Styela clava: one gene and its partner. The protein of the gene in region 2 purifies or fractionates together with the protein of the main gene of each other region. This does not show direct contact. Links are inferred from orthologs where the notes say so. Each region holds a gene or a part of one and is shown on either strand. Other genes may lie near its edges.

Region 1 (8,821 bases), on a different chromosome or scaffold from region 2:
TGGATATGAGAATTTAATTTGCCAGATGCATCGACTTTGTGATCTAGTGAGGACTAGTGATCGCGTTGTGTCGACCACCTCTAGATGGCCAAGTGTCCAGCAATCCAAATTATCCTCCACTCACAAATTGTGAGATCAAAAACGTCCCCCTACCTGTTATTTTAAGTTTATCCATGAGCTCCTTAGCAATATCCTCCTTGTTAAACTGAGCATTGGAGGTTTCAAAATCAAAGTCGCCTTGGAAAGACAAAACATCTTTACGTGGTCCATTATATCGACCTCTATTATTTGGTCGCGAGCGTCCTCCTCTTCTATTACCTGGATGAATAAATATTTATAAATTCATGATGAAATCTGTGAAAAAGCTGAGCTGAACTGTTTCTGTTGCACATATAACATGTTGAAATTGAAAGAAAAAATAAACAATGGCTGACTGAAACATTGATAAGCGAATTCATTGTCTTTAGGCTGGTATGAGATTTAGTTAATCAGGTGGGTTTCGGGCTTTTACTAGTAATATGTATCGTGTTGAAATGAAGCAGACAAAAATACAGAAATCTTGCCGACATTTCACAAGAATTTGCATAACACATATATAAAGTTGATGTGATATAAGGTAGAATAAATCCAAATCAATTTTGAACAAAACATCAGAAACAATAGAAGAGAGAAGAATATTTATCAAATCAGCAGAAATTGACAACACCAATCAGTACTCAAATATTCGTGGGGGTATGATTTCACAAACCTCGATGAAAATCATTTTTTCCTCTCCAGTTGTTATTTCTTTGTTGGTTCCTGTTCCGATTATCGTATGAATTTCTTGATCCCTCGTTATTACGCGAATTATCTTGATCATAAAAATCTCTACGCTTCTCATACGAACGGCTACGTAAAACAAAAAGTTTGTTAAACCAAAATAACTAGAAAGTGGACCTTCACTGACCAAGTACGGCCCACAGGCCAAATCCGGCACGTTGGGTAATTCAATCTGGCCCACCTGATGCTGCCACAACCAAACTAAAACCAAATTTTGATGTTTCAGCTAAAATAGATCAAGGAATTTGTTGAGATTGCGGTTAAATTAAGTTTTGGCACGAAGCTGATTGTTTTCCACCTTTGCTTCATAAGACACTGTAAATATTGTTCATAAAATGTAACTTCTTACATCACACTTACATGGTCGGCAAGTCTAAGTGGGCAAAATTTTTGGCACCTGGTTCGAAAACCTTGTCCACCCCTGCTCTATGTAATAAAACGAATAGTGCAATCATATTTTAGTAATCACACACCTGTCTGCATTATTCTGAGCTAGTGGACTTCCAGTTTGAATTCCCTGATCTGATGTCGGAGAAATTCTACCAAGTGATACAGGTGAAGCAGATTTAGCACCTGGATTTTGTTAAAAAAAAGTAGAATGATTAATGAGAGGCCTAAAATAAAACACAACTTGTTATCTCAAACTGCCGGAGATAAAACTAAGTATTCTTTAGAATTAAAGTAAAAGAAAATCAAATTTTGATTACAAAAGTTTGGCATATGCAAGCCTTCTTTAATTATCAGTCCACTCAATGCTTTTGGGTTTCATCACATATCTTGCTTGACCTCGATTACTGCCACCAAAATTTGTGAGTATCACAAAAATTTAAAATTTCAGTTCCTATCTGTCGACTAGCGGAGAGAGTTTGAAAATATGACACAGACTCCGGCTTGAAAATGGAAACGTGCCATATTTCATAGACCTGGAGTAATGTGCTATCCTAATTCTAAATAGTAATAGCAGATCTTAAGAGTTTTTGTGCCCATAAATTCGCTCTGAGATGTGTCTACATTACACCTGAGCGCACATGTGCGACACCCTTGTGAGGAAGTTATCTTATTTAAAAAAATAAACAATGGTTACCTTGTAGGAGAGGCTTCTGTTGGGCAGCACCAGGCTGTGGATGTGCAGATCTAGGTAGGCCAACAGGTGGTGGTGGACCGGATGGCATATGCGGTGGTTGGTTTGGGGGTGGGACCATGTTGTACGGAGGCATTCCATATCCATACGGTGGCATGTATGGTGGCGGCATATGAGTTGGTGCATTAGGAGGCATTCCAGAATGCTGAGATGTCACAACAGACTGTAAGAGGAAACAAAGGTAAATGCAAAGAAAAGCTATAAATTATATATAGGATAGGCCTATATCATATATCTATTACGTAGACTTCAAGTCGAGGAACAATATATAATTACCATAAATTCACAAAAATAAGTCGTCATTTGATTGAAAATGTCATTACAGCAAAAAATTTGATTTGCTCTATTATACAAGACTAAAAAATAAATATATCTAGAAACAATAACTTTTGGGTGTAATTCCATGTGCTAAATTTTTATCTAGTGCAGTGACATGATAGTGGTGGTAATATACAATACACTTGGCTGGAAAGAGACAGGAAGTCAAAATTGTTTCATGTTAGAATTATAAGAACAGGGTCCAAAATAAATGAAATATATACTAAATTAGTTCTATTTGATATAATAAATGATTTAGGATAGTTTCACTTGAAAATTTGACATTTTCAAGTATTTGCCATCTGATGTTCAGACAAAAAATAAATTCCATTAAAGTTCTTGTACTATAAAAATAAAAAATTTGAAAAAGAACATTTCCAACTAATCTGCATTATCAAATTATATTATATCCAACTTGTTTCGAGTTAAAGACTCGTTCCACTCTGAAACTTGTATTTACTTTGAAGCAGATAAAATTCATTTCACCTGTACAATAGCAGGATCTTGTGGCAAAGAAGTCGTTGGTGGCTGCTGTGGCTTCGGAGGTTCACATACTGTCAGATCTTCTATGTCGCTTCCACGAAATATAATATATTCATATAAATCATCTCGTGGAGGGACTACACATTCGGTCTGCCGATCTTCTGTGCCAAATGATCGAACTGTAAATGGAATAAAATAAGTTTTTTCTTGGAAAATTGTGCCAAGCATTATATATCGGTAAAAACTCTAATAATAATACTCAATTAACTGACATATGCATAATACAAGATAATAAAAAATGGTGCAAAATTGGGAAACTATGATTATGCTTCATTTTAACTAAAATTGATGAATTGACTGATATATCACAGCATTAATATTCCTTTTATCTGGAATAGCGAATATAATAATTAGGCTTGTTTTTTCAAGTTAGAATGAGGCAGCTGGTAGCCGGAATGCAGGTATATTTTGCTTTGTATCTTCCATAAATTTAAGTGAAATCTGTGGTAAAGCCTATTACCACAATGGAAAGCATGGTATATTTCAGTTTTTGGCATCAGCATTTTGTCTGCAATACCTAGACCAGATTTTCAAGACTTCAAAAATATAATATTAATCATCCTTATTATCAATTCAATAATATAATGTATATTATTATGAAGTCAGGAAGTATAATATTTTGCAGTTTAATTTATACAATATATAAATTTTTGCTACATATAATCAATATTCCTCAAGTAAAATTTATAATAAAACTCGAATAAATAAATTGTGTAACGAACATCATAAATTGACAAATTTATAAGGAAACGTAAAATATACCTTTTGCCAGAGCAACTGTAGCATTTTCAGCATCAATCGTGAACAAAATTCCTTCATAACGGATTTTTGCCTTTGATATCAAACTAATCCTACTGCCGATATATGGAGTTCCACAACTCATATCGCCAAAAAACTAGGAGGTAAAAATTATGAAATATTTTTATAGTTTTTAAGAGTTACCAAACACATCTCAGTATCTGCACATACAGACATAAAAGATTTCCAAGAGAACGAGAGAGACAGGTTTTTATTTCCAAACTCTGTCATTATGGTACATTTTTTTATTTACAAATCCAGTCTACATATGTGCTGCAGTCCATTAAGAACTAACAAACTAAGTTTGAGATAAACAATGATTTCCCAATTTGCACTGCTGAACAGCAAATATCACATCCCACTACGGTATTTAAAAAGCAAATAACCAATGTGACACCACCTGACACGGATAGCCAAATAACTTCAGAGCTTGTTTTCATTAAAGCTGTATTACCATTGATACTATTCCGAGTATATTAAATCTCAGAGAAAAGTCCTGCCTCGTGTAAATTAACAAGAAAGAAACGATAACTAACAGTTTGATTTCCTACCAATTTGAAATAGCGACAACGGATAAGGCATGAAAACACTTCATGACCCGCGTTCAGATTGTATGACGCGTTGCTCTTAATCGCGCTCTAGTGTTCGTCTGAAAATCCATTTTTTCTTTTTTCTGTGATATAATGAAAAATGAAAATGAGAGAAAAAGAAAAAAGCAAAATTTGAGGACCGCGGTGTGAACCACTTGTTATATATGAAGGGGGTGTCAGCGGAGACTTGTTTTATAACGTAAATACACTGATATTTGTTTATTCGATTAAAAAGATTGTTGTATAACATAAATTTACATTTGCAATACAATAAAAATTAAAAAAAAAATTCATAATACAATGTTTTTAATTTTTCATATGACCGTACTTCATTTTAAAACACGATCCATTCCCTTGAATCGGAAAATGATGACGCATGCGCACTTCATTCTTGTTGTGAAGGCCGTGGAGTAGTGATGGCGCCCAACGGGTCGCTGCGCTTCATTCGCGCCCGAGGTTTCGAGGTGTGCATTTGGGAGTTGTGAGTTGGTGGAGCTAATGGCCCACTGAACGATCATATAGTTAGTTGCTAAATACATTTTTTTACTGATATGTTTATAGTTGTAAAGGGTGCTTGACCTGTTTCGAATATTATTGTCAGTCGTTTATACATCAACTTTCAGCATTTCTTTTAATAATCCTGTAACTGTGTAATGCAAAAGAAGTGTCTTGTGATATAGGATTCTTGACATGTTGTTGTTTGACAGAGCACAACAATCAAGTACCAAGGTACAAGATAATACAAGTATTGGGTAACATATCTGGGTGATAGTGACCTATTGCACGACCAGTATTTAATATCTGAATATACAGATAGGCATATGAAACTACAGAAATCAGGAAATATCTGTTCAATTATGACAGTACTGCAGTATGAAGAATACTTTTATGTAAGGGTGTAGCCTATCTAGTATAATGGTTATGTATAGCAGTGCAGTCATACCGATATGGTATTGTCTAAAACCACTTTTAGACTTGTTAATATTGTTAATTTTTCATATCATATTGCTCTATTGGGGTATTTTTAATTTGCCCGATCTGTCTGTCAAACCCCTCAGGTTTGGATCGAGCATAGCATGTGGTAGCATTGCACTTAACGGGTCTAGTATAGTTTAGTACCACAAGAACTTCCAGTGGGCGTAACATAACGAAATTTGCGTATGTTATTCCTAATCCCCACCTGACTATACCATCCAAAAATTACATCACTACGACGTCACAATCACATAATGGAGCTTGCCAAAGTACAGTTACAATCACCCGAAATGTCATCTGCGCCGCCCATAATGAACTCACTAACGCCCGCGATCTCTCTCATAGCGTGATCGTTGTGGCGAGAAAACATGATGGATAGCTTGCTTGATTTTGAGTGATCGTCTGCGCGTTCCGCATACTTTGTAGGGACTTTTAAGCCACTGTGACAGATTTTTTTGGTGACGCAGTCAGGCGGGGATTGGGAATGACATTCAAAAATTGTTGAGCCAGACCAACTAGAAGTGCATGTGGTACTAAGCTATACCAGACCCACACAAGTAATAGATAGGATAGAATTTATATATTTATCCCGGGGGAGAGGAAAGACGGCTTATCCATATGTCGAACCACGGCCTCTCGTCCGGTTACCATTCAAAGTCGGGTATGGAATTAGTTATATTGTTTGTTTTCGGAAGCATGGACCTGGTGGTGGAGGAAGCCGTAACCGACCAGCGGTTACGTGAACTACCCAACGACGGCGAGGAGTCCAGCAATCCTCTCGCACATAACCATCCCTGCATGGGATTCGAACCTGCGAACCCACGCAGAGTAATTAGAGGTGCGGTGGCTAGCGTATTCCTAACGCTTAGCTCGTTGAGCCACACCGCTGCGCCAAACACCGCATCGCTCAGTCATTTACTCATGTATATATCAAGTTTATTGCACCTTTACAATTCCACAAATAAATGCAACTTTTTTATTTCTCTCTGTGGGATTGCGATTAAATGACTAAGGTCTTTTTCGAGAGATTCTAATCCAGATCTCAATGCAAAGATTTATTTTAAGAACTTGCAATCGTAGTCAAAAATTAATTCTAAATATATTTTTTCAAGGTGATGTATAGATCTAAGCTGTTTTGTTCAATGCAATGAGGGTTAGCCCACCTGGATCGACGGACACAGTTCTCACATCTTCATCAAGTACCCCAAACACGTTGAACAGCTATAATTCTGGAATGAATAGTTTACCTCCATTTTCTGCAGCAAAAAACGGAGTACAGCAGGTCAGGACTGCTAGCCCGGTCACCTCTCAGCAGCAAGGGATGCTTAATGACTGGTCAACAGGTCTAAATGAGGGCTATGGGGCCCCAACCCCACAACAGCCGACCCTAGTTTTAAATTCACAGTTGCCTAAAGCATCCACACCTGTGGCAAAACAATTAACGACTCTGACCACAGTAAATAAAATTCCACAACCAGGAATGCAGCAATCAAATACTGGTTTGCAAAATAATTTATTGAATCCTACATCGAAGGCTCAAGTTTCTACGACTCAGCCAATGGTGACTGCGCGTCCTCAACAAGGTGGTGCAGTGCAACTAGCATCTGGGATAACTATTCCTCCAGGTTAATTTGATTTCTACTTTTTATCTAATTCCTTTTTCATACGCTATGCAGTCACAATGGTACATAATTATGTACTGGAAACTCTCATGGACTATTGTTATTGGGTCAAAGGTTCCTAAGTTTTTAATACGACAATGCAGTGGATGAAGAATTTATTTTTTTCAAACTTAAATAATAAAATTAAAAGTTTTAAAATATATTCAAACTTAACTATTACGATACATGAAGCTTGTTTTCATGCACATGTCCTTAGCTGTACTGTTTCACCACGATAATTTTCCATCATTATTCAAGCTTGAATATTACAGCGACAGAAAACCAGTCTAATACAAGTTGGATGTGGCAAAAGGGATCAAAACCCCCTGGAACAGGCTTAGCTATATATACTGAAAGTTAATATGTCCCCTTTTCTTATTTTTTCAATTAAGTGAACTGTATTTTACTATCAAGCATTACATTCCTATATAAAGAGTTATGTTCCACACAATATCATAAGCCCTCGAATGTGGAACTGATTGAAAGTTGTTGAGCATCGATACAGGGCTGTTAGTGAACATGCTGAGCCTATCTACACGCTGGTTATATGGTTTGATGGAGCTTTTTTCTTGATTTACTTCCTGTATGATGAATGATCTGTGCTTTTCGCTGATTTCCCATATTACTTTTGATTCCAACCGTATACAGGTATGGTTCTAGCAAGACATCAGAATGGACAGTTGCTGCTTGTGAGTAGTAATTCGTTGTCATCGTCATCTACTACAAATACATCCACAGTTCCTGTAACTCAGACCGCAACATCTGGGACCGTAACAACGTTGAAAAATTCGACAACAGCAGGTGTTGGGACATCATCACCTCAACCCGCAGTAAGTATTAAAGTTGATAACAAAGCAAAGATCAATTATAAGTGCCCAGATTTTAAATGAATACTGGAATTTTAGCAAAATTTCTGACATTTTTTTTTAGTAATTGTAGGTGTTTCACAGATGTCATATAACAGTATTTCTGTGAATTGGAAAAAAAACAGCAAAATTTTGAGTAGGACAAAATTTGAGCAAAATAGAAGTAATAGCCTCCTAGGGACTTATTCCACATTGAAGTACTGAAATATGATTTTATTAGGTCTATTAGTTGCAAGAAAACAACAATTACAATAGTTAGCAAAATGGTACATGTACTCTTTCTACCCAATAAGGGAATTTTGAAAACACCTGCCTCAAATTTTTTGTAAACATTTCTGTATGTTTTATTCTGCAAATGTTTTGCACAAATCAAAATCTTACCACGATTATGTAAATTTGCTTTTATCGTATGAAACACAATCGAGCAACTTTTTATTGCTAATTTCCATTCCATTCTTTTGACAATTTGTTTCATATCGTCTTCTTACAAAAAAAGTCAAAGCCAGGCTCAACAGAATAAAGGATGAAAAAATCTATTGATTCCATTTTTCTATTAAGATAACTGCAACAACAGCTGGTCAGGTGGTAGCAAGAACAGTGGTTCCAGTTACAAATTCAATTAACCTTAAAGCTGTTGCTGCTAAGCAAGTAAGTATGGAATGTATTTTTCACAAAGTTTTTCAAGTTATATTTATTTTATGCCCAGTATCAGTAACTCGTCTGTAATATCTTCCTTTCCATTAATACATTGTGAAATCATGGCATATCTTTGTTTATTAATAATAATAATGATTTTTCTTTTTTGATTGATTATATTAATAAGATTTATTAATTATTTGTGATTTTATGCCCAGATGATATAATATGTTGTCTAAAACCCAATAATTTACCATTCTGAAATAATATTTCCAAATATGGAATACCGAATACGTTCTGAAATGGGCCATGTCTACAGTGAAAATCACTCAGACTGTTAATAGAAGTTAAATTTGTTAATTAGCTCATCTGTGTCCTACCAAGTTCAAATGCATTCTAATACTCCATTTGTTTTCGGACACCCCTGATCTCACAGAATTCACCACTTATTGCATGAAACTTCAATTGTTTCTT
Region 2 (8,824 bases):
GGCCGCACATATATTTAGAAAGTTGGCCGATAAATCACATTTTTTCACACAGATCAGAAGTTTAATTTTTAGCAGCGAAGACTGACCATTTGAATATTTTCTGCACCATTAAACCAATTGCACTTAGCATCAACTTTTCTGCATTTTGTTGTCATTTGTCTAATTAAACTTGAATTATAGGCTCATTTAACGAGTAATTGGAAATTATATACTTGTTAGGTTATTATAATATAATTTAGTCTACACGTGTCTCAAAATAAATTCTGTTACGTAAAGATTATAATCGTCAATAGAGTTTTTATGCAATAGTGAGGAGGTTAGAGGTATGAAAAATCTCAAATTAGGCAAAGGGAGGAATTCATCAAAAAGGTTAAGTACCTATTGGTTTCTTGAGATTTGGGACAAAAGGAAAAAGGTATATTTTCTGCACAGCTTGATCAAAGAGTTGCAAGGAAAGTCTTTTTATATACAGTATAGATGAACTAATATTATAACTAAATTTTTACTTATCCAAAAGATCTTACCATTGCTTTCAAGTCTGAGAATATCATCTCTTAAGTTGGTTCCTCCAGTTGTGGCCATCACATTTAAATTTCCCATGTGCCTGCTCATTTCAATGGCAATTTGTGATGTTTGCAATGCCAGTTCACGTGTTGGCACCAAAACCATGGCTAGTATAACATAAAAGAAAGCTTTGTCATTTGTAAACAAAAAATGACCAATACCTAAGTAAACCAAGTATGTTAAATATTGAATTGTAATGGCCTATAGATGAGAACATAATACTGCTATTGTTTTATCAGTATCAAAAATATAGAGATCAACTTTTTGAGCAATGCATTTAATCGAAATATGAACAAGCTTTAAGAATGTCAATTACAGATATTACTGCACATACAGCAGCAAACCATTCGACACTAGTAAATAGTAAAATAAAATTAATAAAATCAAAATAAATATGAAACCATAATACTATTGTTGCATGTATATTCCAGTCAAGAGTACAACCTATCTTGTTATCAATCAGCAAGAGTACATCATTATCTACAACCAAAATTTCAGTTTTTCAAGAGCGAATGGAACAAATGAAACTACAAATACTGTTTTATGTTATAGTTTAAACTAATTTAGGCTATCATTAGATTATATCCTGTTTACAAATATACATTGCAATATAAATTATGTGTTACCTTGAACATAATCTTTAGACATATCACATTTTTCCAACAAAGGAATCAGATAGGCACCAGATTTTCCAGTGCCATTTTTAGCTCTTGCTAAAATATCTCGACCTGGAATGACAGTGAATACACAAATAAAGACATTCTGACTTGATATATTCATTGGAACCAATTTGAACAGATTACTAATAAGACAAATGAAGTTAGTAAATTTAGCACAAAAAAAATATACTGGTACATATAAATATATACGGTAGATCTTTACGAGCCAATTCTAAAACATTTCATACTGTTACACAGTATAACCTGTCATATTTTAGTCATTTCCTTATCACTCTGTTACTGGGCTCTAATATTATAATTTCAAGTTTTAATTAATTTGAATATATATTTTAGGTATGTATCTTATACTATATCAACTAACAACATACAACAATGTTATAGATGCCGAAAAATAGGTTTATCCTTCACATGAAATTTATTATCACTCAAAGTGTAAAGCAATTTCTTAAGAGATAAAAAAGTAGAAACCACAGAGTTAGATAAAAATTCTATTAAGATTATTTATTCTAATATCTCACCAGATAATGCGATAGGAATGCTTTCTTCCTGAATGGGTGAAGGTTTCTCCCAGCCTTTTTCAAAAATACCCATCAATAATTCTCGCTGGAGACAGAAGTCTTCAAATTCATTTCCTTTAGTCGCTGTAACGTCCTGGCATATAAAGTAAAGTAATGAGAACTTCGCAATGGCAATCATGTAAAAGTCTCTCAAGAAACATTCTTCTTTCGATTAAATGTAAACAGGTAAAATACTTGTCGAATGTGTAATCATCAATTGTTAGTGCACTTACAGTAGTTTTCTTTCTTCTGTCTTTTGGTGGCAAATGTAAATTTGATTTCCAATCTTCTCCTTCCCTAATGTAAATAAATAAGCAAGTTTGGAAACAAATGAATGACAATCCGTTAACCAATATAACTAGCAAATGTTATCAGGCCAAAGCTTGCATTCATAAGCATTTCAACATTATTCTGCAGGTAGCCATGTCTAGTTATGTGCATTGTATGACAAGTTTTTGGCCTATAGTCTTTCAATATGAAATCCCAAAATAATACATTTCCATTTTTAATCCTGTCGAATAATCAATTTTTTTCGATATTTTTGGTATCAGTTTCTGACAAAGGTATGTATAAATTTACCCATTCCAATTACAAAATTAGATGTAAAGGAATACATATGAAATGAATTGAATATTAGAATAAATTTGATTTTAAGAACACCGAAGAATGTCTTCCATTTTAAGTACTGAAATCATACAAGATAATAAGCCTATGTTTTTTTCTTGAACAAACAAAAAAAAATTGTAAAACAGACACCTTCTTTGGATTCCTGCGCACTATTTTTGCTAAATCACGATCTAATTTCGAATGAATTCAAAGTACAGGGTGAAAAATTTTGAATTTTTTTGAGAATGTTAATGTAACATAACATTAGATTTTAAATATTTAGAGACGATTCCGGCATAAAATCATTCAATAGTATGCTTTGTTCAATCATAATAATAATTTTGTTTATAGTGTATTCTTTGTGACTTCGCTTTAAGCTGATATTTATCAAAACAAATATGGATATATATATTTATCCATTTATTAACTGAATTAGTCAATGATTGTCAACTGCAACTGCATACATACTATCAACCACAGACTACTGTCCAAGGCAATAAGCAAGTAGCGATATAGAATCAAACCTATTTCCTGAAAAACAAAGTTGAAAAAATCCTGCTTACCCAACTTTGCCAGATTGAGGGTGAGAGTTAGCAACAGGCTTATTGTTCTGTTGACGAGAACCTTGAACTGAGTTTGCAGAAGGTTGTCTGCTTGGTCCATTACCAGCAGAATATTTGTGCCCTGATGAGGGCATATGCTGATTAGTTGGTGGCATAACGTTCGCCATTATTCAAATCTGTTCCACAGGGGCGATAAATTTGTAGAAAATTACCAGCATTCAATGCGCAAATTCCCTGAGATCACCACCACAGAAATTGTTAAGTCAATGTAGAACTTATGTTCTGTTAGAAAGTCACAAAAAACTCAAGATGTACAACTGTTTCCTCTGAAGTGCACTGTGCAGAAATTCAAAAATTTCTTTAAATAACTGCTTAATTATGATTCATTCCATAATATGCTATAAAATTTCATAAATAAATAAGATAAAATACAGATGAATATCAGTATCAGTATTGAATGGTATGAATCTCTATCACTAAGATAAGCAAGTATTTCTGAGGGTTATTATAAGCAACAGTGTGGTTAATAAATAATATACTGCATTTCAGTACAAGATAAAATTATGATCATAACAAGAGTAAGTGCTAAAGTGGGCATGCACGGATTGCCTGTCAATATATTTTCATCTGGCTATCAGTATCAGCTATGAATTAGATATATTCTTACAGGTAATATTGAAATATCATGCTCAGAAAATATGAGTGTCATATCATTTTTCATTAAAGTGCGAATATCTAAATAGCAAACCATATTTGATTACGGTACATGCATTGAGGGGCGGTCAGTGGTTAATCTGTGTTGATGTTCAAAGGCAAGGTTTGGCAGCAACTGACACAAAAGAAAATTATGAAAAACTGATGGACCCACTTCAGTTATTGTATAGATAAGAGCTTAGCAAACTATATTCCCAACTTGTACTACAATGGTGCATCTTTGAACTTGTGACACTAATATCAGTGCTTGAAAAATTGGGATGTCTTCTGGAATGCAGTTTCCTTATTCATTTTTATGATGCAATAAACATTCTTTGCTAAGTATCAAAATCTAATGGTTAGACATGTTAGCCTGAAATGGTCACTGACCACAGATATGGTTATTATGCTTGCACACCTTACTTTCATTTAATGATAATTGTTACCATTGAGCTAACAGCACCACGATGCTATTTTGTTTGATAGACATATGTTGCTTGACACATACTGATTCACCAGTGATCTGTTTTCTATAGTGTGGTGCCAAAGTGAAAGATCGGATTCAGCATTTATTATTACACTAGTTTGTTAGTTTTCGGGTAAAATTTAATGGTAATAGGCAATTGCACATGCTAGGTTGAAAATGCTAAATGATAAAATATGACAGAATTCATCTTGCATTCATTCAATCAAATATTGAAATGTTGTAATTGTAAGTTTACATTTTTCAGTTAAGCATTTTAAATAACAATAACATTAAATCAGAATGTGTCGCCAAAATATATCACCTACATGGGAAGTTTGGAAAGCACTACTATAGATGTTATCAAAAGCTCCATTATGCTTTCATTTTTCACTTGCCAATATAATCTTCTATTCTTTCTTCATAGACAAAAGCAATGGGGTGTAGCAACTTGTTCAAAAGGAAGTTAAACTCGCTATTAATGAGCTAAATCAATTTCATCTCAGCTTAATAAACGTTGAATTGGTACCGAACTACAGCCGTAACGGCAGGCTGCACTTACTAAATAAAAGCAATTACGGCGATTCACCCCATAGCAGGGCTACTCAACTATTTTCACCAAAGGGTCGTACACAAAACATATAAATTACAGTGGTCCGGCCATTCTAAAAATTTTATTTTAACTCTGCAAACAAAACTCCAAGTGCATCATTTAACAAATACAAGATCAATGCTAAATATCACGCATTGGTAATGGTATGACAAGGCTTTACTAGTCTGGCTCTCTAGCTGGCCGCTGACTTTGTTTAATAAATAGGAAATATTTGGCGATAACACTTATTATACTGCTGAAGCCAATGGGGATAAATACCCACAATACGATTTCATTTCGATCTTTTGTCTACAAAACAGAACATGAATAAAATAAAATACACAGAAAATGGCGACGAAAAGATCGGGAAAATGGGCAAAATCTAGAGAAAGGTTTATAACAGGTGCTGTAACCAGCGTTTGTGCCCATGTACCCATTCACCCACCCTCTTAAAATCAAAGCTACAGAGAACTATCCAAATTACAGAACTAGAGCCACAAAATGCTGAAATAGCTTACCAAAGACAAAAAGAGAATTACCCAAGACAGGCTACAAGTAGCAAAAAATAGCAATGATATTTCAATGTGATATCAAGAAAAAGACTTTTATTCTTACAAGTATTAGGAAAGGACAAACACACTGTTAGTTCTTAATCTGGATTTTGAGTTTTTCCCTTACGAATATCGATCCATTGTTGTGTTTTGTAGAACACCAAATGTGTTATTCCCGGTGACTCTATGGAACAATTTTGCATGTTGTGATTTGCAATATATTTTTACATTGCCAGCTACATGTTTTGTGTCATTGCCCAATCAGTTGAGTTATGGGGTTTAAACAAAACTGCACCAAAGTTACATAAAAGACTCATTAAAAACACAGTAAAAATATAGCGTGGCACTACGGGACGACAGGTCCACCACGCAATAACGTTTCATTGTGTTGTAAATTGTCGCGATGGTACAGCATGAGCCCTCAATATTTTCTGGCGCAGTAACTGAATGACCCCGCTATGACACACTTAAGTTAACTACTCAATGTAACACTGTAGATCTACAATGATGATGTGCACATTATATGTGACACTACAGGGCATTTTTCCACCTTGGAACAGCGGCCTCTATCATCTCTTAAAATTCAGGTTATAAGATAAGATTAGGATTTACATATTTATCTCGGGGAGAGGAAAGCCGATAAGACGGCTTATCCATATGACGAACCACGGCCTCTCGTCCGGTTACCATTCCAAGTCGGGTATGGGATTAGTTATATTGTTTGTTTTCGGAAGCATGGACTTGGTGGTGGGGGAAGCCGTAACCGACCAGCAGTTACGTGAACCACCCAACGACGGCGAGGAGTCCAGCAATCCTCTCGCACATAACCATCCCTGCATGGGATTCGAACCTGCGAACCCACGCAGAGTAATTAGAGGTGCGGTGGCGAGTTCAGCCCGTTGAGCCACACCGCCGCGCCGATAAATCGTTAAATAGGTAAAAACATGTCCTACGGCACTGCAAACACTTAATCTTTATTAACATAAGTCCAGTGCATCTATTCGAAATAACTGTACCAGACAAACAAACACTTCGTGTTACAAGTCATCACAAAACATGTCAATTTTATCAAAATTTCTACATTTCAGGCCCCTTTGTGTAAATGATTAAAAACCTGGGTAAAATTTTAAATTTTCCAGTGAACTGAATGCAGTCCAATAAAATACAAGTGTTATTTGATATAAAAAATACAAAACAATTACTTTCACTGCACTTTTGAACAAATTTGCTTGTAATAGCCCAAATAAAAATTTTCAGATTTTATGGAAACTTTTCGAATAACTACTATCCTTGATCAGTTTTGACATCAAAAAAATAGCAATGGCTTAATGGCTCACAGTGGAACAAATGCCTAACAAATCCAAATCCAGGGCTAAAAAAACAAAATTAAAAGATTTTTCCACCGAAATATAAATAAGAATCATCTAAGACAGGCAGTTTGTAGCTAGAAATAGTAATGCCATTCTAATATGGTGTATTAAGTTTTCTTAGATGGGCACATACCCTAACATAAGTTACCCTATTATCGTCACACACCAATGTTCACCACGCGCCTTCAGGCTGTCAGGACCATCCCACTTTCAGATAGCGCTAATATGAGTTGTTTTCAGATTGCGATGTCATGAGTGATAACTATTGAACTTATTCTGTCACTCGGTGGCATAAGGGCATTTTCATTCAAAGTTAAAAACGATTCTCATAGGGCTCAGAAAAATGTTTGAAAAAAATTAAAAGTAATAGCCTTCCAGCGGCAACAACTCTATTACGAGACAGCCTCCATATCGACTCAAAGCGGCAAATTGGCACTGCGTAATGAACTAAAATAAAGTGCAAACTACAAACGTCACCATTGGATTACACTGAAATTTTTTTAGCTTAAAAACACAATTTAGCTTAAAAACAAAATTTTTAACTATACCGAGGCCTGGCGCAATCTGACGCAAATGTCATCATGCCAGATGCCCTCGTTTCAGAGACAAATAGAGTGTTTGTTTTATTGAACCAAATGTATGGACATCTTGGAATTTTAAGAACTGTGGGGTTTCAGAGTTTGCACTGTTAATGAATGTTCCCCCGAGCATCAACCTCTCTGTCTATTATGATGACAATGACCAAATCAGCAAAAAGCTGAGAATTATCAATTGAAACTATACAGCTATGGCCTCACTCAGACTAACAAACATTCAGATATTGGCTGGTTTTATGCGGTCTTACTACTTACTGAATACAGCGCGAAACACCGCAAAGAGCGCAAAACAGTGGGGAAACAGCGCGAAAGAGCGCAAAACAGAGGGAAACAGTGTGAAGCAGAAAAAAATTTTGCAATGAGTTCGGAGCACCTTGTTTTGAGTTGGAGTACCACGGCAGCAAATTCAAAACACAAACGAACATATGTAGCCAGTAATGCTGTAATGGCAGGTCTGCCCCTGCTGGTGACACATTTTGGGTACCATAATTTAGAACATTTTCCATATGGATATGGTTGGCTTTAGGGTTAGGGTTAGGTAAAAAGGGACCTCCAGAAGTATGTGCACCAAGATGGCGCACAACCTGAAAATAGTATGTGTGTGTGTGTGTAACGGATTCAGGTTGTGCGACATATTGCTGCACCTGCACATACTTCTGGAGCACCAAAAAGGTAGATAAAATTTCGCATGATGACCTATAATCCGGTACATAACCTTGTATATATGCCGGAAATAGCGCCATAAAACCATGGCGAGAGGCGCCGTGGTTCTTTCGTGGCAGGAGGTGGTAATGACTGCGTCTCCTGTTTTGCGCTGTTTCCCTCTGTTTTGCGCTGGTTTCCTTCTGTTTCGCGCTGTTTTCCTCTGTTTCGCGCTCTTTGCGGTGTTTCGCGCTGTATTCAGTAAGTAGTAAGACCCGGTTTTATGTGCCATTAATCAGTTTTTAATTATTTCTAAACTTATACCTGCAGAGTGCAGACCTGGGGAAACTTCCAGTAATATGTAACATACTTTCTTAGAATCAAACATGCCCTCAGGCCTCATTGACTTTTGGTTTCTTTTTTATCATGAAATATGCCTAGAAAACAAAAAAAAATTGGGGAACAACAATTCAGCAATTTGAATAAAAACACCTTACTGCCTTAAGGCATTTCAGGGAACGCCAGTCTGCGGTTGAAATTACTGTACTAGACTAGACTTAGACAAACTAACAGTACTGACAAATCTTAACTGCTAAATAAATTATGTTATAATTTCATGGAGTCTAGCCAAGTAAAACGATGTACCTAACTCCTTAAAAAACGCCAAACAGAAATGTGATGTGAAATTCATATGTTTGGCGTGGAATGAAATACTTGACAGACACGTTTAGTTAAAATATAATCCTCTCAATTTTCAACTAAGGTGGTATATCCCATTCCAAAAAGGTTATAGCCTTCCGTTCGAGACTTTTATTAAAAAAAACATTAAAAATTTGGGCTGTATTATTACCGGTACAACACATTTTTGGTTGGGGTTATTTATGCAGATACGGCATTTATTTTCATATCACATTTTTGTTTGGGGTATTCCAGACAGCAGTACGGTA

The links. The genes of interacting proteins can lie anywhere in the genome.
Region 1: the proteins of putative ATP-dependent RNA helicase DDX6 (region 2) and protein LSM14 homolog B-like purify together in Caenorhabditis elegans (affinity purification with mass spectrometry; 3 studies listed by BioGRID, with this or other methods). This does not show direct contact. The link is inferred for Styela clava from reciprocal best matches to the Caenorhabditis elegans genes cgh-1 and car-1.

Annotation. Positions count from the first base shown.
Region 1 is NC_135262.1:5,623,469-5,632,289, reverse strand, and holds the start of protein LSM14 homolog B-like, read right to left. Parts: upstream 3,717-8,821; 5' UTR 3,705-3,716; coding exon 3,584-3,704; intron 2,941-3,583; coding exon 2,765-2,940; intron 2,124-2,764; coding exon 1,904-2,123; intron 1,393-1,903; coding exon 1,293-1,392; intron 889-1,292; coding exon 749-888; intron 319-748; coding exon 154-318; intron 1-153. Other genes in the region: transcription initiation factor TFIID subunit 4-like, read left to right, coding at 6,332-6,809, 7,494-7,675, 8,270-8,359. UniProt on the Caenorhabditis elegans protein: Transcriptional regulator. Involved in modulating embryonic expression of ATP-dependent chaperone cdc-48.1. May play a role in mRNA gene silencing, and RNA granule (P-body) assembly.
Region 2 is NC_135253.1:748,398-757,221, reverse strand, and holds the start of putative ATP-dependent RNA helicase DDX6, read right to left. Parts: upstream 3,391-8,824; 5' UTR 3,138-3,390; coding exon 2,971-3,137; intron 2,099-2,970; coding exon 2,035-2,098; intron 1,896-2,034; coding exon 1,763-1,895; intron 1,293-1,762; coding exon 1,191-1,292; intron 672-1,190; coding exon 525-671; intron 1-524. UniProt on the Caenorhabditis elegans protein: Probable RNA helicase required for oocyte and sperm function. Also required to prevent the physiological germline apoptosis mechanism killing essentially all developing oocytes.